Linked DNA regions of Rhinolophus ferrumequinum. The protein of the gene in region 1 purifies or fractionates together with the protein of each later gene. This does not show direct contact. Links are inferred from orthologs where the notes say so. Each region holds a gene or a part of one and is shown on either strand. Other genes may lie near its edges.

What was found.
Region 2: the proteins of GOLPH3 (region 1) and FAM20B purify together in Homo sapiens (affinity purification with mass spectrometry; 3 studies listed by BioGRID and IntAct, with this or other methods). This does not show direct contact. The link is inferred for Rhinolophus ferrumequinum from reciprocal best matches to the Homo sapiens genes GOLPH3 and FAM20B.

What each region holds. Positions count from the first base shown.
Region 1 is NC_046290.1:21,194,209-21,209,125, reverse strand, and holds the start of GOLPH3 (Golgi phosphoprotein 3), read left to right. Parts: upstream 1-7,958; 5' UTR 7,959-8,239; coding exon 8,240-8,464; intron 8,465-13,562; exon of another isoform or gene 13,563-13,618; coding exon of another isoform or gene 13,619-13,681; intron 13,682-14,917. UniProt on the Homo sapiens protein: Phosphatidylinositol-4-phosphate-binding protein that links Golgi membranes to the cytoskeleton and may participate in the tensile force required for vesicle budding from the Golgi.
Region 2 is NC_046305.1:12,114,248-12,129,421, forward strand, and holds the start of FAM20B (glycosaminoglycan xylosylkinase), read left to right. Parts: upstream 1-7,253; 5' UTR 7,254-7,373; intron 7,374-8,269; exon of another isoform or gene 8,270-8,291; intron 8,292-15,174. UniProt on the Homo sapiens protein: Responsible for the 2-O-phosphorylation of xylose in the glycosaminoglycan-protein linkage region of proteoglycans thereby regulating the amount of mature GAG chains.

The DNA.
Region 1 (14,917 bases):
TCATAACAATATATTGAACGCCCTGTGTGGGTAGCTCTTTGGCATCTGCCTTCATCCCTTCTGTCCCCTGCCCCCCTTTCAAGAGTTAAGAATGAGGATGATTTCTGTGACACTCCTCTAATTCATGCTGGGGCCATTTACCTGGTTTGACTTGTTTTGCTCTCCTCTCACAATTGGAGGGTTCTCTCATTGTCACTTGAGAGCACATCCGCTTTCTTCTCTTCATGACTGCTGCATTAACCTGATTATTTTTCTCAGCCATGTTGCTCCTGGCCCTTCTGTCCACTGGTGACTTAACGCTTCCTATGTAAAATCTCTGGCCTGTAAAATGAGTGGAGAGTCAGCTTTCACGAAATTACTTTTTCGGATGAGGGAAGCTGACGAAGGGTTCAGAGTTCTGTTGACAGTTAGCAATTCCTCATGATAACTGACTTGGTGGTTTTACTGCAAGAGGAGGGAAGTCCTTTGAATCTAAATATATACCAGACTCTGCTTTAGAGAATTATAAGCCAAGGAAACTCTTCTCACCTTGTGTTTCTGTTATCTATTTCTGATAACTATTTCAGTTATCTGTTTCTCAAAATTGATGGCTCATCTCTGCTCCACATGGCACCAGCTGGCACAACTCAACTGGAGGGCTAGAGGATTCACTTTTAAGATGGCTCACACACGTGGCTGGCAAATTTGTGCTGTTTACTGGGAGTTCGGCCAGGGTTGTGGGTCAGGGGCCTCGGATCCTTTCTAGGTGGACCTCTACACAGGATGCTTGGGTTTCCTCACAGTATGCTGGCTGGGTTCCAAAAGCAATCGTCCAAAGAAAACAAAGTAGGTGTGCATTATATTTTAATGACATGCCCTCAGAAGTTCCATGAGATCAAGTTCACCATGCCCTGTTGGTTGAGGCAGCGTCAAGGCCACTCAGGTTCAAGAGGAGGGGATATAGACCCTATCACTGGACCAAGGGCAGATGTAGGCCATCTCTTGGTTTTGAGAAATAGCATAGACAGAGCTGATTACTGGATCTGAAGCAGAATACAATAGCAGTTAAGCAAATGTAAAGATGGAGAAACTAATATTCCCAGATCTTCCTCAGTCGGATCCTCTATGTTTGATTGATAATGAATTGTCCGAAACCTAGTAACTCTTACCTTAAATGCAGATGCAAAAAAAAATAATTAAAAAAATTTTCGGATTATCTATTACTTATTTACATTTGACTTACCTAAACCTCTCATAATGGAGGAAATATTTAATTATATCACACTATCTTATTTATTAATTAAATGATGCAAGGTAAAGTTTACTGGGATTTTGAATTAAAGAAGCTATAGACATTATTAAGATTATTATGAACATTATTATGTCACCTGTTAAAATAACTTTCATCCTCATTTGGGTAGAAAGAATTTAGTTAAAATAATAATTTGTATTTTTAGTTAATTAAATTTTTATTAAAATTAGTGTTTTGTATATGAACCCTATTGCTTTTTCATATGGTTTAAACATACTCTATTCAGAAGAGATTTTTCTACTTAGTGAAAAATTCATTTGAAATATTTTCTGAATTGTTTTAGTGAATTAGTGGGGAGGGGTTTTGGTGGTGAGAAGGTAATAGAGCAGGACCAAATATGGAAGAACTGTTATGGTAAACGTCATTGGGTTATTGTAAAAATGGCCATTTGGTGCTGAAGAATATTGTGAGCTTCTAGAAAAGGTCTACATAAATGCAAAATAACACAACAATTTTGTCTGTTAAATATGGTAGGAGGTGGGATATACCTTGGAAAAGCTCTTTTTTACTTTGACAAGTAAAATAGCAGGAGAGGGAGGGAGCTCTCCACTTTAGGAGGGGGCAGAGAAGAAAGCTACTCAGGAAATTCCATGTCAGCTAGGAATGGCCAGGGGCAGTTGGCAGAAAGTCACTTGTTACTGATACAGAGCATTTATAGAAATGACGCTAAATGAAGTATATGATGGCAGTTGGAGATGTTTGGACAGGCAGTGGGGCAAAGTAAGTAGAGGTGGCTGTAAATTTGTGCACAGAGAAGAAAAAAGAGGAACTGACACTCCCACAGAATATGCAAATAGGCAAATTTATAGAAACAAAAAATTGATCAGTGGTTGCCTTAGGCTGGGGAGTGGGGTTGGAGAGCAAAGGGGAATGACTGCTAATAGGTAGTTGTTTTTTGGGGAATGATGAAAACGTTCTAAAATTGATTGTGGTAATGGTTGTACTAAACTAAAAACCATTGACTTGAACAATTTAAATAGGTGAATTATATTGTATATGAATCTAATCTTAATCGAGCTGATATTTTGAGAAAATAAATCTAAAATTGAATATAAATAAAAATACATATATATGTAGATTCAAAAAATGTTTATGCCACATGGAGAAAACAAATGCACCACCTACATGTTCACTTCTGTGTCCTTATTCTATCTTCCAAATCATGTAACCTCCTTTTGTTAGTATCCTTTATATCTTTCCAGCGCTTTAAAAATGTATATATAAACGTGAAATATATTCTTTGTTTTCCCTTTTCTTATACAAAAAGTAGCATATTATATAAACTGTTCTGCTCTTTGTATTTTTCTCTATACAGTATATGTCAGAGATCTTTCCATATTAGCACACACAGAAAACTCCCTCATTCATTTTCATAGTACACGGTCTTCCATTGTGTGGATGTTCTACTGTTTATTTAATTAATTTCCTATTGATGAACTTTGGGTTATTTCCCCTCTTTCACTTCTACAATGTTACAATGAACAACCAAGTACATATGTCATTTCATAGATTAGCAGATAAATCTTGGCGATAGAGTGAGATTGCTACATCAAAAGGTAAATGCATTCGGAATTTTGATGAATTCACAATTCACCAAATTGCCCTCCATTTTGTACTTCCAGAGCAATGTATGTTATTAGTTCTGGTATTCCCCAGACTTTTGCTTACATGTGTTGCCAAACTTTCTAACTAGTTGGTGAAATGGTATTATCAGTGTAGTTTTAATATGATTTTCCTATTACTAATAAAGTCAAGCATTATTTTTTATATTTAAGAGCCAGCTGTATTTTTATGTGAGCTGTTAATGTTCTATGACTATTCCTTCCCACCCCCACATTTGCTATGTATCTTGACTTTGATATTTTTCCCCATGCAGAAGTTTTTTTTTTTCTTTTTTTTTTCCATGCAGAAGTTTTTGATTTTTATGGAATCACATTTACCAACGTTTTCTTTCCTGGTTCTGGAGATATAGTATAGACATATAGATATAGTACAGATATATGTAGATATACACTAGCTTATTGTATACAAGTAAAGATCAACTACTTTAACATTAAATGCCATTATATCTTTAACCAGTTAAGAAATGCTCTTGGGTATGAATATGGATACTTTGCAATAGTTGTCAGATAAATCTTGAAGGATTCTCAGGTTTGAACTTTGCACAACTGTAGAAAGAAAAGAGGTAAGGTCTATTTTCCCACCTGTTGTATCTGGGCTCATCTTGGGACTTACTTTGACCAATAGAATGCGGCAAAAATAAAAGTGAAAATTTGTGAGCTTTGCAGATTCTCTTGGAACTCAGATGCCATGTGAAGAAGACGGGGCCAGCCTGCTGGAGGCATGTGGACTAGCCTACAGCCAGCACCAATCCCCACCTGTGAGGCCATGTGAAATCAACTGGCTCAAGTGAAGCTGCAGTTTGACGACAGTCATATGAGTAACCCTGTGGGAGACCAGCAGACAGCCCAGCTGAGCCCAGTGCAAATTACTAAACTGTAGAATAATGAGCAAATAGTTGTTTTAAGCCACTTTTTGGGGATGTGGTTTGTTGCATAGCAGTAAATAACTTGTACACAGGTTTTTGTAGGGCGTTTTGAATAAAGAAAAAAGGTAATTGAAAATACTGAAAGATAGGTTCGATTTTGTTAATTCACATACTCTCCATCTCCAAAAGGATTCAAGATGCTGCGGTGGGCAGCCCCTAAGGTGACCCCAGTGAGCCTTGCCTTCTGGTGTTCGTTCATGCATTTGTATAATCCCCGCCTCTTGAGCATGGGCTGAAACTAATGACTGTTTCTAACCCACAGAATATGGCAATGATGAAAATAAATGCCCTCCCGTGATTATTTGCCATTATAGAAAACTCCATTATATTACCAGATTCACACTAGGGATCTGTCTTCTTCCATGATCAAAGTTAATTTACCGTCAGGTCCTGAGGGACCACTGCAAAAGCTAATTGTCTCCTGTATCCATTGTGACTACCTCCTTGGTGAATCCTGTGAACTTTTCAAAATGCAAATCTGATAATATCACAGACCCACCCGTTCCATTTTTCCCTACACAGGGCATTTGAAAGTACTTTCGGTGGCTTCTCATTGTGTTTGGTTGGGAAAAAACCCAAATCTTAAGATGGACGCACAGCACTGCAAGATTTGACACTTGTCACTATTGCTTTTGACAACACTCTCCCCCTCAGCCCCGCCAAAATGGTCTTTGGTTTGATTCTCCATCATCCCATGATTTCTCCTTGCTATGGGCCCTTAGTACATGCTATTTCCTCTCAGGAATGACCAACCCCAATTTTGTTTAGTTAACGTCTGTTCATTTTTTAGCTTATTACTTCTTTAGAGTTGCTTTCTTGAGTCCCAGATAAAATGTATGTCTCTCAGATATTTGAGAGTGCATGCTCTCCTAATACTGTATTCCTTCTGTATTCAAAGCATTTCTCAATTTATACATTAATTAGTGTGATGATTGGCTTAATGTCCATGTCCTCCATTAAAGAGCCTCATGAAAAATGCTATGGCTGTGTCTCTTTTGTATTGCTATGATATCGTCATTGCTTATCACAGTGCATGGCATACAGCCATTATATATAAATACAAATATTTGTTCAATGATTTTATTAAGGACCTGGCTTCTAATGCAGGCTTGCACTTTGCCAGATGTGTTATGTTTGGGCAGATTACTTAACTTCTCTGAACCTCAGTATATTCACCAGTAACATGGGTGTCATAATCTGGGATGCCCAGAAAGCAGGGTCTAAGACAAAGGCTTTTGTGCTACTTTTTTGTTAGAGAGTACATCTCCTAGAAACAAGAACAAGGGAGAGGGGGAGTGAAGAATAAAGAGGGAGAGCCATATCACGAAGGTGTTGTTGAGAGCGGCCGGTTAGCTCAGTTGGTTAGAGCGCGGTGCTTTGAACAACAAGGTTGCTGGTTCAATCCCCGTGTGGACCCCACTTTGAGCTGCGCCCTCCACAACTAGATTGAAACTATTTGACTTGGAGTTGATGGGTCCTGGAAAACCACACTTAAAATAAATAAAAGTTGGAAAAAAAAAGAATGTGTTGTTGAGCTTGTTGTAGCTAAGTGTCACTGAGAAGTTGTATAAAGGATCTCAACAATCCATTTGGGGGAGAAAAAGGGGAACTTTTATGTACTGGGGTGAAGTGCTGACTCCTGCACACTTCTAGGTTGCCCCACATGGGCATAGGGTGTGGTGCTGATAGGCTACGCTTCAGGAGGTGGTTGGAGTCCACACAGAAGTATAGCACAGCAGAGGCACCAAATCTGAGGGTTCTGCTGGGGGTTACTGGAGAACATGCCTGGCACAAAGTCAGCAGTCAATAAATAAACGGTCATTGTTATTAGTAATATGTTTTGGTTCTCAAAATGCCATATTCTTTTCTGTCCCTTCCTCTCTCCCTTCCTTCCTCCCTTCCTTTCTCTCTTTTTTGTTCTTTCTAGACAAGGTGATTTTGAAGTCCACCTTGTGGAAAATAAGCAAGGAAGCAATGCTAGGAAAACTGAAAAAAAAATAAAACAGAAAGTTATGTAAAGTCTCAATGATTTGAAGAGTGGTGCCTATTTTTGTAGGCAAAATATATGTGGCTAGTCATTATATTTATTACAGCATTGTTTATAATATCAAAGAATGAGAAACAACCTAAATGTCCATCAATAGGGGATTGACTAAAAAAAAAAAATATGATATGTTTATACAATAGAATATGCACCTGAAACAAAGCTCTTAAGTATTGATATAGATAGTTCTCCAACATCAATTAAGTGGGAAAAGAATACCAAGATACAAAACAATGTGGATAATATGCTATTATTTGCATCAAAGAGAAGAAAAACATTTTCACGTTTGCTTGGGAAGGATATCTAAGAAAATAATATTAGTTACCTATTTGTGTGAATACGTGTCCAAGTATTTTAGTACCTATTACTGCATAACAAATGACCCCAAATTTAGCAGCTTAAGACAACAAATATTTATTATCTCATGGTTTTTGAAGCTCAGGAATTCAGAAATAGCTTAGCTGGGTGGTACTGGCTCAGAATCTTCCATGAGGTCCCTATCAAGATGTTAACTAAAGGTTTGAGTGGGGCTGGGGGATCCACTTCCAAGATGGCTCACTCACATGCCCGTGGGGGGGAGGCCTGTTCCTTCCCAGCTGGACCTCTCCAATAAGGCAGCTTGAATTATCTTCATGACATGGCTGCTGGCCTCCCTCAGTGAATGATCTGAGAGAGAGAGAAAGAAGCAGCAAAGACTTTTATGACCTAGCCGAAGAGGTCACACAGTCACACTTGCCACATTCTATTTGTTTGAAGAGAGTCACTAAGTCTGGCCCACACAAGGGGAGGGGAATTAGTTTTCCCCTTTTGAGAGGAAGAGTATCAGAGAATATGTTGGCTATTTGGGAAAGAATTGGGAGAGAAAGAAAAAAAAATCGAAGAGGATATGAATGGGAGAAATTGGTTGAGGAGAAATAGACCTTTGCCCAGAATGACAGGAAAAAGGGAGGGTCTACTTGTGCTCACGCTGCTCCCTCCTCCCCACCCCGGTAGAATAAGCATTCTCACTTTCCAGGGCTTGAGGTGGTGATGGTGTGACCGGTAGTTCTGGATAATGGTTTTGTGGAAGGGGGAGAAATCTGTAGCCAGAATTTCTATGGGATGGCTTTACGGCTTAATCATTTATTATAGCTTAAGTCCTGTTACAACAATATATTTCTATCTAAACCATTCTGCAGTCAAAGCCTGTGGTCATTGTTGATTTTAAATAGTATGCAATTCCATTTCTAGATAACGTTTTACCTACAAGCTCCACCCTTCCAACACTCCTCTCAGTTTTGACATTTATTCTTTAACATAACTTGCACAGTCAAGCACGCCAAAAGGATTTAACCTAGTAATTAAATCGAGGGAGATTTAATGTGCACAAAGACGTGGCATGAAACTCAACAGGTTTATTGTCTGTATATAAAGTTCATTAAGGTCGCGTCTACTGACATGGGCAGTACTAACTGTACTCACTGCGCCCTGGTCACTTTACAAGTCGGGGGGCGAGGAGAAAAGTTTTACAAACAAAACTATTCCATCTGTTCTAATCTCTTTTTATGCAGTAATACACCTGGAAAACACGAAGTCCACTTTCAAGCCATCTAAGTGCAGTTGCTCCTTCTGAAGGGTCAAGCAATGGGGGCAGAGAACGCGTCCTCTCCTCGCTCCAACTGCAGCGAGCAAAGTCCTTTCTGTGTCTCGTGGGGACTCCGAACTCCGAGCCGGGTCCCTGCAACCCCGGCCAAGGCCAGCTCCGAGGATGGTGATGTCTGGGGAGCTAAGGGCACAGCTGGAGGTTGACCGGAGTCCACTCTTGCTAGGCCACGGCTCCCCCGACTCGTGGCTCCAGCCCGGGTTTCCTGTGGGGAGAACGGGGAGACCTGCGGAGGGAGGACACGTCATGGGAGGGGATCCGCGGGCCGGATGGCGAAGGGACGCCAAGGAAAGGGCGAGACGCGGCGCACACCCGTGGGCCGGGAGACGGTCGGAGTCCGCCGGTCCCCGCCCGCCGCTTCCGGCGCCCTCCGGTCCTGCCCAGAGCCGGCGGTGCCACATCCTCCGGTGACGTCAGCCAGCGCCGCCATATTGGAAAAGCGCCGCCGCCGCTGCCGCCGCCGCCTGGGTGTTCGGGCTGCCTCCGGGGCTGCGGCCGCAGGAAGGAAGGAGCCCCTTTCTCGCCCGCGGACACCCGACCCATCCGCTTCGCCCCGGCCCGTCTCCCCATGACTGCCCCCCGCCCCGCTGCCGACGGACGTCGCCCCAGCACCGGGATTTAACACGGAAGCCCGGGTCGGGGACCGCGGCGGGGGGGTAGGAGGGAGACCCGGTAGGTCCGCGTCCCTTTCGGCCCGGCGCCTAGGGGGGAGCCATGACCTCGCTGACCCAGCGCAGCTCGGGCCTGGTGCAGCGGCGCACGGAGGCCTCCCGCAACGCTGCCGACAAGGAGCGGGCGGCGGGCGGCGGCGGCGGCAGCGGCGAGGAGGACGCTCAGAGCCGCCGCGACGAACAGGACGAAGACGACAAGGGCGACTCCAAGGAAACGCGGCTGACCCTGATGGAGGAGGTGCTCTTGCTGGGCCTCAAGGACCGAGAGGTGCGAGCAGGGCTGGGGTGGCCGGTGCGGGGCCCGTGCTTCTGCCTCCGAGCTCCCGAGCGCCGCGCCCGGCAGCGCCCAGCCGGCCTGGTGCTTCCAGAACCTCCCCGCAGATTGCTTCGGTTTTCCCTTCCTCCTTTCACATCACTCCTTTTATTTTGACTCCCGGGCAGTCGGTATGTCTTCCTCACCCCTTTCCGCGTGTTTAATAATCCATGTAGACCCCCGGTTACAATCCCCACCTGCCCGTTAGAGTGAAACACCTGGAACCACTAGCGCCCCGAACTCCTGGGTTTTGCGGGTTTTAGGACCTGGGAGGGCTCCACAGATCTGCTTTCTGGGAGACCTTTTTTTTTTTTTTTTTTTTTTTAAAGGAGTACTGTTTGGAATTTTGAAAAATTGCGGTGAAATGTTAATGGAGGCAGAGTTGTTTTACTGATAAAGTTAAAAGTCCAACAAAATTCTCGTGACAACTCTCGGAAAATGACTTTCTAGGTAAACTTGCTTTGGGTGAGGTTATTTTTAGTCGCGCTTTTACGTTTTACCAGTTGACTATTCTCCAGAAAGTCTTGCCATCTTAAGGGAGGGCTTTTTCGTGGGGTGCTTGAAATGCTAGGTTTGTGATTTGATGAAAGGCCTCAAAGCCTTAGGTAGGTTAAAGTTGAATTCTTTGTACTCAGACTTTGAAAGATTATTTTCACCCAAATACCTTACGAGAATTTTCACATAAAGAGAAGTTGAAAAAAACGCTACAGTGGACACCTTATATATTCACCTCCTAGGTTTTATCATTAACATTTTGCGCTTTTTGCTTTATCACATATCCACCTATCAACAAAAATGACTATGTTTAGAACCCGCAGACAATGAGAGAGATGGTTAGTTTGTCGAGAGAGGATTAGTCTAAATCAGGGGTGTCCAAACTGCGGCTTGTGGGCCAACTGCGCCTGCAATCCATTTTTTATTGGCCCGCAGCAAATTCCAAAAATATATTTAGTTTACTTAAATAGACCAGGTGAGGCAATAGTACTTCACCTGGAGTGAGTGGCCCGGCTGTTTGTGTATTTTATCGCATATGGCCCTTGGTGAAAAACGTTGAAAAAAGTTTGGACTCCTCTGGTCTAAATCATTATGTGCTAAAGTGGTTTCAGGAGCTTATTTTATCTCAGCATGGAAACCACAGACATTTTGAGAGTCAGAAAAATACCTATTTTTTCTTTTTGAAAATTTATTTTTAAATAAATTATAGTTGACATACAGGATTATATTAGTTTCAGGTGTACCATAATCTGTTTTGATTTTAAGAAAGTTTTCCCAATTCACAAAGGTGGGCAAAAAAATTTAATCCTCATAAAACAACTTAGTCTTACTTCACCAAAACTTAAAATCAGATATAGGTGAGGTTTATATGGACTGTTGGTGGATTCCTGATATTTAGTAATCTAATGATAACTAAAGTTTACCTTGATAGAATTGCCTAGAGCATTTGCAATATCTAGGTTTCTCATTTGCTCAGGTTTTACTAAGATGACATGAAAAAAGGTTATGTCCCTCTGGCTGTGAAGTGGGTCTCGTATCTGTTTATTAATTACTGAGTTATGATGAAATCAGTCTGTATGTGAAATTCCCTTTTGTTGTTTAGAAAAACAAACTAGATGTGTAGTGTCCTAGAAATATGATTTTAGAAAGTATCAACTTGCCAGGACAAAAGTACCATTTTAGAAAAACAAAATGAAATAAAGAAGTCATCAGTATTTCTGAGTGAATATTTTAGTTTATACTTCCTGAGACTTTTCTGTGAGGTTATGTCTTGTGTGAAACTAAAACTTAAAAAAACTAAAACCCAAAGTTTTGGACTTTTGAGTCACACTGCGTGAGAAATTATGGTGAGAAAGTGCCTTTTTGTTTTTTCAAGTATGTGTTACTCTAAATGTTTAAGCAAAAGCATAGTAACATGCTACTTCCCTGTGATTGGTTTTCATGAAGATAAGCTAAAGAATTTATATGTTGAAGCTTTAAGGGTACTTAAAAAATTCAAACAATTTAAAGTTCTTTGGTGGCAGGTAATTGAAACCACCTGTTGTGTTTGTGTCAGGAATCACTATACTTTGCCATGTCCGTGGCCAAGATCCAAACACTAGCTAATTCTGAGTATTTCTTGCTGATTTCAACAACCCCATAGGGATTATCCCCCCCTTTTCAGGCAAGTCCAGGGAGTTGAAGTGGAGGTGGGTGGCTTTGGGATTTTACATTGCTTTAAATTTATGTTTTAGGAATCAACCTATATATTTTTTCCTGTCCTCATGTCTTCACATACTAATAACCATCCCTGTCAACTCATCCATTCATGTTTTTCTCTTTTGGAGGTTCTCCCCACCCCCAACACCCCCCTTATCTTCAACTTGTATCACTCTTTAAGGGTAGGAATTACTCTCTCACCTAGAGCCTAGGCATTTATGCTTGTTAATATTAGAGCTTAATTTACTACTTTGATATTAACAAGTTCATAACTTATTACTTTAATTTTTTATTATTTTAACTTAGCATCCATATTTGTAATATCTGGGTACTCTTAAGATGTTTAAAAGCTAAACTTTAAGGTTAGGCAGGTCATTAATGATGGACACATTTTATATGGGGGGGTGCCAAAAAAATGTACACAAGTGGACACTTTGGTCAACGTTGCTCAAGCAGTAGTTGACTGTAATCAGAAATGTCTGGACGCTGATGGTAACCACTTTGAGCACCTCCTGCAATTGCAGAAGTCAAACGTGACTTGTATTCATCTTTGGTTATCGATATATATTATTACAAGTTTAATAGTTTTTTCTTTTTTAAAATGTGTATACAGTTTTTTTGGTGCCCTCTGTATATGTGATCTCACTGATATGAAATCAAAATAATCAAAGAATTTTAAAGAAATTGTGAAATGACTTTGTAAAAAAGCTGACACTTAAGGCATTTTGAAACTACTTTTTGTTGAATAATAAACCTACAGAAAAGTATATATATCATAAGTGTGATGAATTTTCACAAACTGACCATACCTGTTAAACCAGTATCTAGGTCAAGAACCAGAACATGATCAGCTCTTTAAAAGCCCTGTTTGATTTCCGCTCACTGCCTAGTCCTCAAAGGACTTTAGAATTCAGCACTGTCGCATCCTGCACAACCAGGGTTGTGGGGAGCAAGGAGGGCGGCGCAGGGTTAAGAAAAGACAGTAGCCATGAATAGAGTGCAAGAGGGGCCAAGGGACTCCAGCATCAAGGACTGAGCCCCTATTTGGGCCTACGCATAGTTTTATTAGTTAGGTGGGGAAGCAAAGGAGATAAAGCTTGTCAATCTCAAGATCTGTGAATCCCATACATTATAATAGGAAACCGATTCAAGCCAGTCACCCTTGCCTGCAGGCAGCAGAACAGTAAGTCTCAGGATGTCTGTACTTTCCCAAGGGACAAAACCTTTATGCATATGAATAGATGGAGAACACATCTCTGAGTCACTTCCCCTGCAGGTTGTGGGAAGGAATGCAGCCACAGAGGCAGAGGCTCTCCTTAGACAGGGGGAGGTGGAGGACTGTGCCCACCTCTGTGAACCCCGTGGATTCTCCTGTTGGTCCCCACTCGACTACACCTGGCTTGAGTTGTCCCCCCCATGGGGAATCTTACTCGTCGTTGGCTGACCAGCCATCTTTCTGGGGCCAAACAGGCATGAGGTGCAAACACAAAGGTGAAGCAAAGTCCCTGAAAGGATCTGTCTCACCGACCCTCCTTTAGGGGCAGGTACGAGGAGACAGACGGGTAGGCTGCTGTGTGGCAACATAGAATAATTTTGCCAATTTTTGAGCTTTTCATTATGTCTTGCTTTTGTTCAGCATTGTTTGTGAGGTTCATCCATATTGTGTGAGGTTGTCATTTGTTCCTTCTCATTTATAATCTACAATATTTAAAAAGTTACTTTGACTTGTATCCTGAATCCTGAATCTGGTGTTCTCCCTCTCCCTTCTTTACTGAATGGAAGAAGGCTCAGCTTGCCAATAAGCAAATGGTCTGGCTTCACGTTACCTATTATGGGGTGACTCTAAAGTCATTGTGAGAAGTTCTTTTTTCCCTTCTATAGTAAGTACACATTTCAGTTTTTTTACCAATGACTTTCCTTTCTGGCTTTCATTAAAATACAGATGCCTGAGCCCTTCTTGGGATGCTGGTGCTCAGCCTGGGCGGAGCCTCAGTGACACAGGTATTGACCTAACTCTTCAGAGGCCACAGCAAGGATGGTACATAGGTTTAAACTTGAATTCAACTTCCTAATGATTAGCAAGCAAGATTTCTGTAATCTCCCCCTTTTAAGGGGGAGGAACAGCAAAGGAGCCAGGTATTTTCCTTTCCTCTCAATATTTTTAATTTTCCATAGATGACTCCAGTAGTCAGAGTGTTTTCAGAACGCCTCACTATCACCTCAAATAACTGGTGTCATGTACTTGTAAATATCTTTGTTGTTGGCAAATCTTAGTGCTTTAAGGTTGGGTTTGATTATTTTAAATGACCAGGTGTAATTTAGAGTGATCCTGTGAAGTAGCAGAAATTGAAAGAGGTTGTGTAGTCCAGGTCTGAGGTGCGTCCATTGTTGTACATAATTATTTAAGCTCTCTGAGCCCCAGAGTTCTCTTCTAATGGATAGAGATAGCAGTCCTCTGCCACGGTGGTTCTGACTGGACTGTTGCGGACGTTTATTGTGGACGTTTATCGTTTTACTCTTCACCAAGATTTCCCCCAATTTTGACTGGCATTTAGGGCATGCCCCATTGCGTGTAGCCCCGGATGCCCTGTTGAAGCATTTACTCCTTCTTTCCCTTTTGTGGTGTAACCAGACCTAGACTTTTCCAGTCAGATGTTTTCTTCCTGAGCTTTGTTTGGCTCTTGAGAGCAGAACAGACTGTGAGGTTCTTTTGGAGACTTACCAGAGTAGTGTGGTGTGTGTATCAGACTATTCCTTGAGATCAGACTGTTCTCTGACATGGTTCTTTGAGCTTCTTTCTCCCTAGCCTGTTGGTGCTCTCTCTTCCATTCCTGATTTTCCAGGCACATTTCAATTTTGTAACCTTTAAGAGCTGTCCAGTAAAGTTCGGTTTTAAAGATAGTCAATCAGTTACTGATGTTTCTAAAGCTTGGAGGCAAGAATCCTAATGCAGTATTTTCACTCTATCTTCAAAAACAGGTAGGTACTTGAGCTGGATAATATACACTTTGGGTGAAATACTTAAGTTTAAAATGATGGAACTGACTTTTGTGTGGCTTTTAAACTGGCTTCAACGATTGATAACATAGATGTGTACCATTTTTGGAATAAGTTTCCCAATGTCTCTACTTTGAACTACAATACTTATCGAGATGTATAATTTTTTTAAAAATTCTCCTTACTATATATACATGCCTTCTTACTGTACATGCAGAGATATGAGTATACACCATCTCTGCATATCAAATCTGTTGAGAAATTCATTCAACAAATGTTCAGAATTTCAAGATGTGCTAAGATTTTAGTGACTTAAAGTATAATAAAGACTTCTGAGTTTTGGAATTTTGTGATTCCTTTATTAATACAAATAATATTCCCTTCATATTTTTGCAAGATTTGATATTTATTTTTTCAGGTGTATTTAAGAGTAGTTTCACAAGTATGAGAAATACAGGATCTCAAAAATCAGTTTTTAGAGTTCATTGAACTGTTTGTACCTTTTAAACAAAATTTTATCCTATTGAAACCACTTTTCAGTGTCTTGGGATTCTTTCACAGTGTGGCCAAAACACTCACTGGTTCATCTTATAAGTCATAATAATATTTGATACTTACTAATTTTAGACCATCTGATCCCTGTATAGATCATTTGAGATTATCTTTTAAAATTGTACTTTTAAATTATTTTGATTAAATCTGGAAATATTTGGGCATTTTTTCTGATATTTAAAGAATGAACTATTATAGTGTCAGCTTACATGTAAGTCTCAAAAGACTCTAAATGCGTCATGTTTGTTCTGTTACGTTAAACTTTTGGCCCAACGCCTTTATGTCCAAGCATACTTTCCCTACTTTCTACGAGCATGATTTTTCTGCCGTTAATCAGAGTAAATGGTATCAATCAGGGTTGTATTAATCTTTGCTTAGGGCATTTTATTTTCATGTGAGGCTCCTTTTGAAGCAGCACCAAGAGACTGCTTATTCCCATGTTTCTCCCAGTTAATGTAATGACAAGTAACAGAGATGGGAGCCTGGCTTTATTTTGAAATTGATGTGTTTGTGGCTCCAGTAAATATTGAGGTTTTAATTTAGGTATTACAGATATATACAGAAAATAGGCTGTTTCTCTTCTTATTTGTTGTTTGGTAAACCTCTAATCTGTAAAAATACAATTAATACTACAGTGCATTACATTACCAATAAGAATGCTCCTTA
Region 2 (15,174 bases), on another chromosome or scaffold:
GTAGTAAATGAGAATGTAATAATGTGGGAAGTTATGCCTGCTATACCATGAAGTTAAAAATAAAAAGTAGATTTTAAAATAATATTTACAGGGAGTTCTGGGTAAAGATGGCAGAATAAACACGTGTGTATGCTTTTTTGGTTCCTCCTCAATCCCTACTAAAACAATAACAAAAGGAGTTTTTCCCTAAATAAGCTCTTTATTAGAATCTTAGCAGTGATATTAACAAAAACAGAGTCTCCACAATTATAACAAATAAATGACAATGTGCTTTAAAGCAAGACTAAAGAAACATAAACCTGGGCTGTAACTAAGGTCTCAAAGGGTGTTTTTTTAAAGGCATACATACACCTGCCAAGACAGGGAGGAAGAAAGAGGAGACAAAAAGCACAAAATTTGGAAGCACATGGACAAAATGTGATCTACATAGGAGAGTCCATGGAGCTTTCCAGCATGATGTGAAGGCAGACCAGGCACAAGGGGCAAAAAAGTCTACGTGGGAGCAAGTCAGCAAGCTCCAAGGAAGGATTTGTTAGAGGTGAAATTGTTAAAATATATGTTTCAGTTTGTAGGGAGGAGATAGAGTCAACTAGCAGAGCTTTTTGGATTGAAATAATAATAATAAAACTGAACAAATGAAACAAAGCAGTCATTAACTCCAAAAAAAATAAATAAATAACGAAACCAAAAGGTAATTGGAAAAGGACTCTGTCCATCAGGGCCTAATCAGAAAATAGAAACTAGACAGTAACTTGAACCGAGAAAGTTGAATGCAAAGAATTATTAACTGTAACCGCGGATTGGCATAAGGAGAGATTGGCTAATGCAAAGTGAACAGAACTTTCTAGGACACAAAAATAGCAGATATGAGGGCCAGCCACCACCCTTCCAGCTGAGATGGAGCGCCAGGGCTGAGATCCAGATGGCTGGAGAGGGCACAGTCGTGGCTTGCTGAGTAACAGAGGACTTGCTGGAAATCTCCAAACTTCTCAAACTCCACCCTCTAAGATGCTAGGGAAAGCCATTTATGGAGCGGGGTCTCCCTGGAAGCCCCAGGAGGGGTGGTGGGGGACACAGCTGGCCCCTGTGCCCTACAGGACCCTGGCCATCTGCCAGTGGCACACCAGAACCAAGAAGGAAAGACCCCTTCCTCCTTGCATTGCCTCTCCAGCACCCTCCGCTGGCAAAGCTTAACAGGGTGCCATCCAGCAAAGGAAAACAATCTAAAGGGTCCAATATAAGTTTCACAGAGCCAGCAATAAAGGGTGAGTTGGAGTTGAGAGGTTATAAATTACTAACCGGCCCCAAGATCTTAAGATTATCATGAGAAATAAAACGAGGCAATAGATGCGATGCCCTTAGCAAGGCTTGGCAAACAAAAGAAGTTCTCATTCATGGTAGTTACTGTACTGGGTGGTGAGTTGGCTATCAGCCAAGAAGGCTTTCAGTGTGTTCTTGGGCCGCTAAATGGGCTATCAAAGAAAACAATGTCAGTTGTTTTTAGATCATCTTGGAGCCCTTAGAGTTCGACTGTGAGGTCCATGTGGCAGTTAATACTGTGGGTGGAATGAAGAGTAAACTGGAGTGGGGAGAGAGAGAGAGATGAGAAAATCCAGCAGCAAATTACTGCCATAGTCTAGGAGATAAATGAGGCAGGTGTCCGTGAGTGGTGGCAGTGGTGATGAAAATGGGGCAGCCTCGTGCCACTCCCTAAGGAGACACTAAGGCTCTGAAGACTGGCCTTAGCCATGGCGGTGGGTGACCCACGGGCCAGAAGGTAGATGGCCTTTAAAGGGAAAGTACGTTTCAGAGCAAAGCACCCTCCCCTCCCCTTGTAAGCTGCCTTACTTGGGGAGCTCGGGCTGCATGTAGCAGGGACTCTGACCAGCCGTTCATTCCTCAGACACGCTCACAAGTTGCAAGTAGACGGTTCCAGGTTTGGTGAGTTCAATGGCTCAGAAAGGATCCAGGTGGCAAGAATGTGGAGCTGCTGCCACTCTTATGCTGCTGGTATGTGTGTAAATTGGTGCCACCCCTTTTGAAAAGGGGCACTACTGATAACGCTGAACATAAGCATATCCAGTGACCCAGCAGCAGCTCCACTCCTAGCTCAACCCAAACATTCTTGATGGCACAAGAATGCTCATGGCGCCACCAGTTGTAACAGCCTCCCACCCCCATCCCCCCAAAAATCTGGAAACTACCCACGTGTCCTTCAAGAATAAAAATCAATCAATAAATCGTCACATAGCCTCCCAGTGGAATTCTGTTTGGCAGTGAGAATGAATGATCTCTAACTACACATGACATGGGTGCATCTCACAGACATACTGTTGAATGGAAGACACCAGACACAGAAGAGTACTATGCCTTTGGGAAACGACTTATCGGGCAGGGTCCAGTCAGGTTCCATGTATATGAGGTATGAAAGCAGGCAAACTTGTCGGTGATGTTAGATGTTGGGACAGTGTCTACCTTTGGGGGCAGGTGGTAATCAGAAGGTGTTAGTTACCCAAGGGTGTTCAATCTATGAAATTTCATGGAGCTGCATGTGTGTAATTTTCTACATATGTTATACTTCAGGAGCTTAAAAATGCAAAAAGAAAAAAGAGTGGTACTTTCTAATTTTCCTTTCTGCCTTCTTTAGAGGGTTGGCCTCGTTTTTAGCTTCTACCTCACGGTTGTAAAGCGGCTGCCAGACTGCACACATAACCTCTTCACAGAGCTGCAGCCAAAGGCATTTTCTCTTGTCATTCTCCTTTTAGTAAAAAGGACAACCTTTTCCAGAAACCCTCCAGGTGATTTCTTCTCAGGTCCCATCAGCTGTGTGGTGGGTCACGTGTCCATGTTTCTAGCAGGATGGGAAGCTGGAAAAACACGTTCGGCACGTCCAGCCCCTACCAGAGGCTGGAAGGAGAAGGAAGGGTGAGGGAGTGCTTACACGGTGGGAAACAGTGTCCAACCCATAGAATCAAGCCATGCATGCTGTTGAAAGAGTTAACCACTAGCCAGACCCAGAGACAGAGCTCCTTTCTGATAGGGAGGGCTAGGCGGGGTGAGAAGGTGATCCCAGCTCCTCAGAGAACCACGTCCAGTAGGTATCAGGGGGCCTGACCGGACTTGGAATCCAATCTCGAGTTCTGAGTCTACTTGAACGAGCTGTGTTCCTCTGGGCAGGTTACTCAACTCTGGACCTGTTTCTATGTCAGCAACATGAGGAGACTGGCCTAAATCCAAGGTCAGTACATCATTGCACGAGACGTCACTACTTTGAGGTCCTTGAAAGGAGGACATTGATCTGCTTTTGTTGGTGCTCTTGAGGTTGGTTTGCTTCCTTCTGTAAGCACTTTTTAAAAGCAACATTCTCATAAAAATTCTCATAAAATGTTCTCATAAAAATTCTCTACCGTCCTGACAAATTCTCCATTCTCTCCCTTCCTCTCTCTCTCTCTGCTCCCCTTCCCTCCCCCCCTTCCTCCCTCTCTCCTTCCCTCCCTATTGGACCTAACAAGGGAGTAATCCATCCTCCACTACCCCCCACAACACACCAGGTGAGCATCAAGTAGGTACTAGAAAGGGCCACCAGAATCAAATTTTTTTTATATAACTAATGCTTTCCTTGAACTTGTAAAGAAATGGGATTTGCCTGAGAATAACTTACTAACCTACTACCAACTGACTTCACTGAATAGGTATGCAAGCATCACCGTTGATGATGGTGTGAGTTTAGTTCAACCACCCGTGTATGCCTCCTTACTCAGTGCTCCTAGCAGGGAATGAAGGGATACGTGTGCTCCTTCACTCACTAATCTCTTGTGACTCTTTCCCAGGCTCCTAGCACCTTGGAACAGCATGAGCTTTCCTACAGCTCCCTTCAACTTTCTTGATGTAGAATTCACTTCATTAGTTTCAGTAGGATCCATCGTTGTGGGTGTGTTTTCTTAACAGAAGGAGGGGTGTGTGGTACGTGTTGCATTCGAGCAGGCAGGCATCTTGAGAGGATACTCTCCTTATACCATGGGATGGCTGTCCCAGGGCTTGACAAACAAACTGTCAGAGACTTGGAAATTCTGAATCAGCTTAAGGAAAATGCTTACTATGATGAAAGGACCAAGAACAAAGCCTCCAGTGCTCCTGATTTCCCATGTCTGTGGGACCTGTTCTCCTAAAACTTCTCTTTTGAATGTTGAGTGTCTGCCATGGACCATGCACGGTGTTCATGCTACTGAAGATGCAGATATGAAGAAGACACTGTCCTCAGCCTCGAAGGGCTTATAACCCAGGGGAAGGGGTCAGATATATCCCCAAAGATGTCAGTACAAACCATATTGCAAGAGAGGTACAAACGAAGTACTGAGTCTCAGAAGCCCGGTTAAACACCCACAGTTAGAAAGGTCAGGAAAGGCTTCATGAGCAACTGGCATTTGAGAGAGATGTAACCTTTTCACAGGTGGAGTTGGAGGGGGAGAGGGGTACGGTGGGATTTCCAGAGGAAGATTGTCACAACCATGGGGGCAGGGATAGGGGACGGCCTCATAGAGCAAGTGAGCCCTTTAGGGTGGAGGGTAAGGAGTTAGCAGAAAATGGGCCTGGAAAGGTGGACTGATTGGAAATTCCAAGCAGTGGAGTTGCCATTGAATTCTTGAAGCCATGGACAAGCCACTGGAGAGTCCTGCAGGGGGATTTCTCTGCTAAGGATGTGTGTGTGCCACCCTTGGCTGGAGGGGAACAGCCAGATTTCTGCTCTGATTTCAACTCGATGCACTTCAACACCACAGTGCAGAGAAGGGACCTGCATGAGGCAGGCATTCCCCAGGTGGAAATAAAGATGAAGTGAAGTCAGACTGTGTCTTTTCAGAGCCTGGCAGTGTGGGGACAGGGAAGAGAGAGACAAAGGGGGAGATTAGACAAGGATATCTAGAACACAAGACATCCCACGAGTTGTGAAAGAGTTTCGTGGAAGTCTTGGCAAAGTGCTCAGACCACCCTAGTGGGGCTCTGCCTGACCTTCCATTCTGTTGCTCAATATTAGACTGGAACCTTCTCCAGGACGAGAACCAGGCCTTCCTTGTCTTTGCACCGCCTGGGTCTAGCTCAGTGTCAGGCACTTGGGAGACATTCACTGAAGAAGGGAAGGGGGGAAGGGAGGGAGGGAGCGAGGGACACCTCTCCCATCGTGTGTCCTCTGCTGAGGACGTCTGTCTTTAGTTCACATAGCACTGCTTGACTTTGGTTCATATTGTCCCTCTCGTCTCCCACCCATCTATGCTCGCCCCACTTCTGCCCCCCTGGACCTGGATGCTTTCAGCGATCACAGAGTCTGTGCTGCATAATTGAAGCCTCCTGTATTCCTTGCAGCTGTTTCCTGTGTGGTAGTCATGTAAACTCTTTGAAGGCAGAGTCCCCTTCTTACATGACTGCATCTGCCACAATACCTAGACTATACTGACTGTTGATTGGTTGGGAAATAAGGCCCATCCCAGGAGGAGAGGACAGTGACTGACATCCTGGAGTGCCAGGCGCTGTGCTGTGTGTACATTCCCAAAGAGCCTGGATCATGTGGCCTAGTGAGGAGAAAACTGGAGGACAGAACAATTTTGTCATCTGAAATCTTTCGCTAGGAGGCTCTGAATTCTTGAGGACAGAAGAGGAAAAACTGCGTCTGTCCTGCAGCATGTGGGGTGCGTGGAAAGATTTGATGGATGTGAAATTAAACACTGGAGTGGGTTACCCAGAGGAGCCGAAAACCGTCCTCTGATTTCCTTAAAGATGGGAGAGGCAGGGGAATCACTAGGAAACTGAGGCTGCAGGTGGCGCTGGCCCTCTCCTCGGCAGTTACAGTTGGACAGTCCACCCTTGCTGCTCTTGTCAGAGTTACCGGCAAGAAAGGAGAGTCCTTTGGGGCAAAGCATCTCAGGGGAACTGTTGATTGGCCCTTCAGCTTTATGATCTCCTGATCATAAAGGTTCAGGGAGATTAGCTAACTGTAGACTGGCCGGGCCTACAGTCAATTATTTCAATAATAATTGAAATAATCCAATTATTTCTCTAGGATCTCCTGATAGTAAGTGCTCAGTAAATACACACGCGTAATAACTAACATTATACAATAATTTGCAAGTCCTTTCCCCACACATTTCCTCATTTAGTTGTCACAATAACCCTGTGAAATAAGTACTATGATTAACTCTCATTTTCTAGATAAGATACTGTGAGCGGTTAAATGGCACACCCAGTATCATACAGTCAGTAAATTCTTTCCATGACACACTGTGGTTTAAATGAACTATGCAGGCTGGAAAAGAAGTCAGCTCCATCTTTCCTCCATCACACATCTTATCCCACAGAGCAACGTGCATTATAGTATTTCAGGGACAGGTACACTTAAGTCCAAGCTTAGTACAGGGTGAATAAATGAACAGATATATTATGCAGTGGATGTCCTGTATGGAGTCAATGGAAACAACTTCAGGGGAGGGAGAATCTTTCTTTCAGACCATTTACGGGGAGTCTACTGGGGTCTGGTATTAGAGACCCAGACACGACTGCCCTGTCCTCACGGGGCTTACAGTCCATCTCAAGAGACAGACATTAAACAACTGATATTACAGTAAACTAATCACCATTTTGTTACAACTAAATGTCGCAGGGGGCTTTGCTCTGGTCCGAAGGAGGAGCGATTTGTGCTCACTGTAGGAAGGCTTGCCTCTTCTGCGCAAGGAGATGCAGTTACATAGAAGCAGATGTTGAGGCAAATTAAAAGGGCAAAAGGAGGAGACAAATTGCTTCTTACAAATAGAATTTGACCTGAGGGACCCCCAAATCTCCAGTCCCGCTACCTAGCTGCCTACATACCTAGGGAAATCAGGAAAAAGCGAAGGTGGGAAAGAAGTGAGAGCTCAATTTCTGTGGGCGGGGCAGGGCGGGCTGGGCTGCAGGACGAAGGTGAGACTAGAGCCCGGGTGGAAAGAGTTAAGTGGGGCCTGCCAGGAACGGAAAGGGTTAAGGGGGCGGTCCGGAGCGGAGCCGATAGGCCCGCCCACCGGAGGGCGGGGTGGGTGGGTGGGGCCTCGCGGAATGAGCCCTCGGATTGGTCGTGGGGTAGGCTTTACGCTAGGACGGTACCAACAGACGGGAGACGCGGAGGCGGGGGGTGGGTGTGGGACAACCGGCTCAGCGCCGGGAGAGGTGGCCAGGGAATGGCTGGGCCAGGGGTGGGCGGGAGCCGTAGCGGCGGCGGCGGCGGCGGCGGCTGCGGCTGGGGGAGGTGAGTGCGGCGTCGGGCGGCCCCTCCCCGGAGGCGGCGGGGGCGGCCGGGGCCCCGCCGCACCGCACGGCGCGGGCGGCCATGGAGTGAGCCTAGAGCCCAGCAGGTGAGTAGCGTGGGGGCGGGGGAGGGTGCGCGACCCTCGCCACCCGCGCGGCGGGCGGGAAAGTGCGGCCGGCACGCGGGCTGGGAGCGGTGCGTGGCCCGCGCCAGGCAGGGACCGCTTGGGGGCGGGGCGCCTCCCTGAGGGGCCGGGGACCGGTGCCCCCAGACGTCCCAGGCGGCCGCGGGCGGGTCCCAGACGGACAGCGGCCCGGGCCGCGCGCCCTGCCTCGCTGGCTACGAGGCCGGCTCCTGCGGGCGGTCGTGGCTGAAGGGACGCGGCCTCGGCCCGCGCCTCCACGGCCCGCCTGAGGCGCGGGCCTTACCTGGGGACGCCTCGGGCCGTCTAGGGTACTTCTGGTGACCAACCCTCGCTCCTGCATGCGGTCCCCTGAGGCGACTGGCCCCCGTGCCGCCCTTGTGTCTCGCTGGGCGCCCTTTGCAGCGGTCCGGGGAGGATCGCGCGCCCGTGGGCCCACCTCGTGGCCGGGAAGCACGAGTGACCGGCAGGCCCCAGGCGGGAGGCGGGGTGACCGTGCCCCGGGGCCCGCGGTCGCAATCGGGAGCGACTTAAGGAAATGATACGGTAGTCCAAAGTGGGTTGCGCTGGAGATTTTATTTCCGGGTGTGATGGCCCTGCGATTGAGAACCGAAACGTTCATTAATGATGAATGCGAGCAGTTGTCAAGCTGCGTCCTTGATTGTGGGATCTGATAAGAGTTTCATTCTAATCAGGCGTCTTACCTGCAAGTCTTCTGGTTGGAAGAGGAATAGAAGCAAGTTGGAGGGGAAGTGGAGGGGACAGGGCATGGTTTGTGGTTACAAAACTGTTAGCCCTTTAAATGACCATATATCATCGTTTGGACGGCTGAAGAGTTTATAATCTGGGAAAATGAGAGATGCGGCTTGAATCGAGGGTCAGGTATCAGTATCGTCTCCACCCAGCCAGTTTCTCTCTGCAGATTTGATTTCTCACCTTGAAAAGAAGGAATAGGAATGTGGGATCTTTTAGCTTTTAACTTGCAGGACTTTATAATGTGTAATTTAGTCATTGTGATTGCTGTTTACTAATTATTCCTGTTCTCCTTGTGTTGTAAAGTAATGCATAAATTTCACTGGGGTTGATTTTTTTAAATTGGATTTGAGTGCTTATGTATTATTAATTCAAACGTTCAGTTGAGTTTATGCAGGACCTTTGAGCTAAGCCTTAGAGCACTTAGACGACATATATTTTTTTTTTATTATCAAGACGCATATCTTTGAGAAACTGAGGTACAGATGATAAAGATGCTAAATTATTTGCCCAGATTCAGAGCCAATCTAACATAGACTTCAAATTAAACTAATGTTTTGTGTTAAATTAGTAAGTTTTCTGAAGTTTGTGAGGATGTTGGACTTTGGCCCTTAGAACCATACAGTGGAATCAGTCAACAAGCACTTCCTCATTTGAAAGTGCTTATCAAAGAATAAAAACTGTAAGTAAGTAATTCAGACCCAGCTTCACAGTCAAGTGCAGTTGATAGAAATGGATGGAAATAAAAGATGATCGAGAAATCTTGGAGCTCGCAGCTCTCCTTCAGTGTGGCTGGTGAAAATGTGACAGTGATATATTCTGTTTCTCTGGAACCAGTAGAAAAATAGCTATGATTTGGTTAAAGAATGAAAATTTGAAAGCACATGCCCTGCTTTTCTTTCTGGGTACTTTGAATTAGGGAACAAACATCACTCTTTACTGTTTCTATCATCTAATCCTTTATGTCATAGAATTATGTTGAATTGATAATTCCCTGACTTTTAGTATGTTCTTTTGATTTGTATTTGTAGACTCCAACTCTTTCACATAGCCCTAAAGCTGCTTTTATCTTTTCTGAGTTTTGAATTTCTAAATGAAATTTTTCTTTCTTTACTTACAGGACAGGCTTCAGCGTCTTAGAACACTTTGTGTGACCGTCATTTCAGCGGTGTAAACCCTGAAGCCAGATACTTCAGCTCTTGAGTTGATACCATGTTTCCCTGAAAATAAGACCTAGCCGGACCATCAGCTCTAATGTGTCTTTTGGAGCAATAATTAATATAAGCCCTGGTCTTATTTTAATATAATATAAGACAGGCACTTATAAGACCGGGTCTTATAAGACCGGGTCTTATATTAATGTTTGCTCCAAAAGACGCATTAGAGCTGATGGTCCGGCTAGGTCTTGTTTTCAGGGAAACAGGGTAACTTTTTAAAATGGTAACCAAAGTTGTTGTCTCTTAATGATTGCCATAATCACATAATAGAAGCAGGAGATTGCTCTTTGTATTCTGTGGCCATATTTGCAAGCAAGAAAAAGGAGATGGTCTTCTGAAGCTGATGTCAGGTCACGCTGGGGCTAAGTGCCAAGTGGTTTTGGAGATGGAGTGGGGAGCATAGTTGCAATAAGGCAACAGAGTTTGTTGTAATAGTGATGATAACAGGTACTTTTTTCTCTGCACCTAACACACAGTGGATGTGCAGGAAATACTGGGTGGTTGAATGGATGAATGGAAAACAGTATGAAGGTCGGGGAAATATTCTAATGCATATACTAAATTGTTTAGTTTCTCTTTTTGTGGGGAAAAAAAAAAACCAAGAAAAATGTGTCAGATTCCTGTTGAAAATATGAGGTTGAGATGGGTATCTGTAAAGGGTGTTACTTGCTGGAGCCGCCTTGAGATTTGATTGTGTGATTGTATGGTGCTCTAGCAAACTGCAGCCTGGGAGCAGCCTGTGTTGCTTCCATCAGGTGCAGCTTCCCAGACTTGCTTCTGCAGCCTTCTCTGCCTAGGCTAACTGAGCAGTTGATTGGTAGTCGATATTTTTGCATTCACAGAAGAACGAGAGCTCTTAGTAATGACCATGTCAGTATTATTGACTCTGATGGTCCATCTTCTCGTCCCCTGTGTTGATGGTGGGAGAGGGGCACCTCTCCGAAGTGCTTTAGCAGCTCCTCATTCCACGCCTCCCTCTCTTTCTCTCTTCCTTCCTTGAACTGCCTCTGTATCCCCCAAGGACTAATGGATTCATCAGCACAAACCTGGGGTACAGAACACAAGACCTTACTTTGCAACTGAAACTAGCTTCTGACCAACTAACAATGTCCACGTGACTGGTAGGAGCCATCTAGAAGACAGTATAATGCAACCATGGAACTTTACGATTTTGTCTTTCTTACCCAAAAGCAAAAGAGGAAAGGCCTGGCTCTGAACCTACTGAGTCTTGGGGTGCATCTGTTATCCCAGTGTGAGATGAGAAATGGAGGCTGACATAGAAAATAGGTATTAAGCTTTGGTGTGTTTGGGCCTCTGTAATTTCTGGCAAGGTAACAATCCTAATGAGGGGAGGATGTTAATTTTGGTACATTATATTAGGTTGGTGCAAAAGTAATTGTGGTTTTTGCAATTATTTTTAACCTTTTAAACTGCAATTACATTTGCACCAACCTAATAAAAGGAGGTCAGGGAATGTGAAATTATGAACGTGTAACAGAACCAAGTACAGGTGAGGCCGTAAGGTCATATCATTATTCCATGTTTGCAAATGCTGACTTTCTGCTTTATGTATATAGCAGTGCGCCATTTATCTACTATTGTTAGGGAACATATTATAGTATTATGTGCAAAAATTCTTATTTTAGCTATACTGTTTGTGGAAAAAATTTTTACAATGTATTCCATGCTTTGTTTGCTTTTTAAACAAGATAGTTTAACCTTTGTTTTGTTGACTCAGGGTCATTACTAGCATCCATTACTGACAGTAATCAAGAGGGGCTTTGAGGCCATTGAGATATGTAGGTTGCCTGCCCCCTCTGATTTTTGAATTCTTGAATATGCTTTTATCAGCTAATCTGTCTCTTCTTTCAGAGGCAGGAAAGCTGTACTTTTTTGTCGTTGTTAGTGTCCCTGCCGCCCTCTTTTTTATTTGCAGCTTCTGATCTTCTGTGGAGTAGCAACCCAGATAACTCTGCTTCCTGAATTTGATTGTAACAGCTAAATAGATCTAGTGAGGGTCTACATCTCTTCTCTGTTAATGGTTGACTTGGGCTGCCCAAAGTCCTTTTATTTCTTATTCCTCATCCTTGGTTTAGAGGGTGAACTTTGCACTCTGTATAAGTGTATTTATGTTCCTGTAGTCCTTGGTGTAGGAAAAAGAGAATGATATGGAAGTAAGTACTGGTGTTGGTTCTCGTTTCAGAGAACCGGAAAGCATTGCCAGTGATACTGGAACCTCCAGTTCCAGCCCTGTCTGTGTCGTTCTTGGGCAGTGTCTTGGAGCATCTCCAGTTTTCTGTTAGCATTTCCAGATCATTTTTACTCCCAATCCCAACCAGTGCCAGGAACCAGGCTGGCAATAGCATTGCCTTGAAAGCTGGAAGCAGGGTATACAGGAGCAGCAATTTAAAATTGAGCATATAAAATTGGTATCCATAGTTGATATTTCCGTGGTTTCTACTGTACTGTATATCTGAATCCATCCATGATAGGACTCCGTTTCCCTGTATCTGTAAAATGAGACCATCTACAAACCAAAGAGCGGAAAACATTTTTATAACCATATAGGTCACTCCCCTTGCTCTTCACTCTTTTTATTCAACAAGCACTTAGGGAGCACCTCTCAAGTGCCCTGCACTGTGCTAGCTTACTTGGGGGCACAAAAAGAGTAAAACATATCCCCTGTCCTTGAAGAACTCAATAATACTTGTATAGTAAAGGAGATAGGCATACCAAAAAAGTGTGTGTGTGTGTGTGTGTGTGTGTGTGTGTGTGTGTGTGTGTGTGTTAGCAAAGGGATCAGGCCTGGAGCCACTCAGCTATAATTCAGCACAGACCTGCTTGAGGTGCTACTATTTCTAAAGTGATCTGTGGACTGTCTACTTGACACCCCCAGAACATAAGTTTTAAGAATGTGAAGTGTTATCATTGCATAAAGTCTGTATATCTTTTTAAGAACTAGTGAACTAAACAGTAAAGATGGACAATATGAAAATCTGAAGGAAAGTGTTATATTATTTGAAATGTGATATTTCCACACTATATAGGAATTACATTCTGTAATGCAGCCTTAAATGGTTATACTCGTATACTGACTCTAAAGCAGTGAAATACCTGATACTTGGGAAGGTTCATTATTTCTGGCCCATTTGAGACAGAATGCAAATTCTTAGGCATTTCCAGAGATTCTAGATCAGGGAACACTGCCTGTGTTGATTTTTTTAGAACAAATCTCGCTAACATTATAAGCTAAAGATTTTTTTTCTTTTCATTTTTCCTGAAAGAGTTAGAGGGTTGCCCTAAATCAAGGTTTAAATGGGACAGGTTGCAGGATTTGATTTTTTTTTTTCAGATGGAGCACACGTGATTGCCTAGTTCATTTTCACTGTCACACCCATGGAGAAAGGCTTTCTTAATGCTTCATGAATGCTGGTGATGGTTTGAAGTTGGCTTCCTTCACAGGGAACTGTTAGAGGATTTCACCTAAATGATTCCGAATTTACAGACAGGAATAAATGTTTCAGTGGAAGTGAAAACAGTGAGGAAAATCGAACACTCAGACCAATTTGGGCTATATGGAAATGAGATTTTCTTTACCTGTAACTTTTAAGTTACTCCTAAGGCTTATCTTCAGAGCTTAAAAACATGCAAAGCTGTCATCTTGAAAACACAGAGCTGATTTTCCAAACTGAAGAATATTGTGGAAGGCTTTCTTGCAACCTTTTTTGTGAAACAGAATAAGTTCACTCTTCCCATGTGCCCCACTTACATCGAATGTGGTAGAATTAAACTTTGTGGAGGAGAGAAGCAGGTTGGTCACATTAGTGCCGTAGCCTCCCAGTCTTCTGCTTCACATGGTACCACTCTGAAGACACCTCTTGCCTACAGTCTTAGCTGCTCCTCTAATTTAGGAAAGGATTGGGCTGAGGGATATAAGACTGTTTGAACTCTTAGTGATGCAACAGGTGTATTCTGCCCCTGACTGTGTAACCGGAAGACTACTGACCAGTGAAGGTTACTTTCTTTATCACGCTTTCTCCTCTCAGGAAGTTGTCTTTCGGGGTTTGATACGGTAATAATGACTAACAAGTGATTACTGTGAATTGTCCAGGCGCTAATTTTAGCACAGTACATGTGGTAATGTCATTCATTTGTAACAACCCTGTGTGTTAGGTAATAGTGTTCTTACTTCATTTTTGATATGAGGAAACTGAGGCCCAGAGAGGTTCGACGTTCAGCCACTTTCCCAAGTCCCGCAGTAAGTGGTAAAGCAGGCAGACATTTAGGCCCAGGCCTCCAGAATCTCAGAGCATACACTCTTACTCCCTCTGCTACAGAAGAGTTTATATTTAGAATAAGAAGGTGAATTAAGAAGCCATTTCTTAAGTGGAGAATTAGCAGGGAAAGGAAAATTATATGTAGACTGATTAATGTTATTATTTGATATGTTTTTGTTTTAGTTGAAGATGAAAAAGAAGTACAATATGCTATTGTGGTGAGCAGTTGGTGGCAGTGCAGGGTGGGCTGGTTTTCCAGGGAGACTCAGGGTTTATTCAGGTAATAAACACGGTGCCATTTGGTGTTGGAGGTTTTGACTTCCTGGATAGAAGCACAATGCAAAGTGGAAAGGTTTCTGAATGCTCTTGATTTTACTTATAATAATTGCCACTAACAATCAGGAGAGACTGCATTTATTTCTAGGGGGCAGCTAATAATAATATAGCACAATGCTCTAATGTCCCTGCCAATTAAAAAACAAAAGGGCAGTATATCGGACTTAGCCCAGGGTGTGTGTTTCTAGTTTTTTTGTATTAAAGGGTTGTCATTTTTGCTTTTATTTATGCTTTGGCTAAAGTACAAAGGTTAGGCTTCATAAACTGGGTTTGTGGAGTTGTGTGAGTTTGTGAGTGTGTAAGGTTAGCCTTGATTGCTCTGAAATATATAAATAGAGTTCAGTAAATTATCCAGTGGAGGCTTTTTTTATTCTTATATTACCTTTCAAAGTCCTTAATTATGTATCTTCCTAAACATATGCCATTCCTAAAGAAATGGCATATAACTTTCATAATGATTTTATTACTCCGTAGAGGGCATTAATAATCATTTACAAATAAGACCTAACAATTTATTGATTCAATATTTATATTTAGTGGAGAATTTAATCTTTTCCCCTCCCTGAGAGAATTGTTTTTAGTTACATAATCTATTTCCCTATGTCTTTTTCCCCCAATATTTTTAATGTCCCAAAATAGTTGATCTGGACAGAATAGATGTGAGAATGTTGGATTTTACAAACTGCCCTAAAATTTAGTGGCTTAAGACAACGATTTGTTATTTCTTATAATTATATAGGTCAGCTGAGCTCAGTTGGTTGGTTCTTCTGCCCACGTGGTATAGGCTGGGTCACATGTGTGGCTATATTCAGCTGGGACCTCAACTGGAACTGCAGTGCCCTTGGTGGCTTTATTTCTGTGTCTGGCGCCTCAGCTGGGGGGTCCAGAATAGCTAGGGGCTGGCCAGGCCTCTCTCCACATAGGTCTCCCATTTTTAGTAGTCTAGCCCGAGCTGCTTTACACAGGGGCTTGGTCCCAAGTGGTAGCTGCCAGGTCTCTTAAGACCTAGGTCCAGAAGTGGCAGCCCAGTCCCGTCCACAAAGCCCGCCCAGATTCAGAGGGAGGAAAATAGGTTCCACCTCTGGGTGGGAGGGAGGACAAGATGGTGTCTGTCTTTGTAGACAGTCAACCAAAAATGCTTTATTAAACTCAGGTCTTACCTCTTCTTGTACTCACCAAACC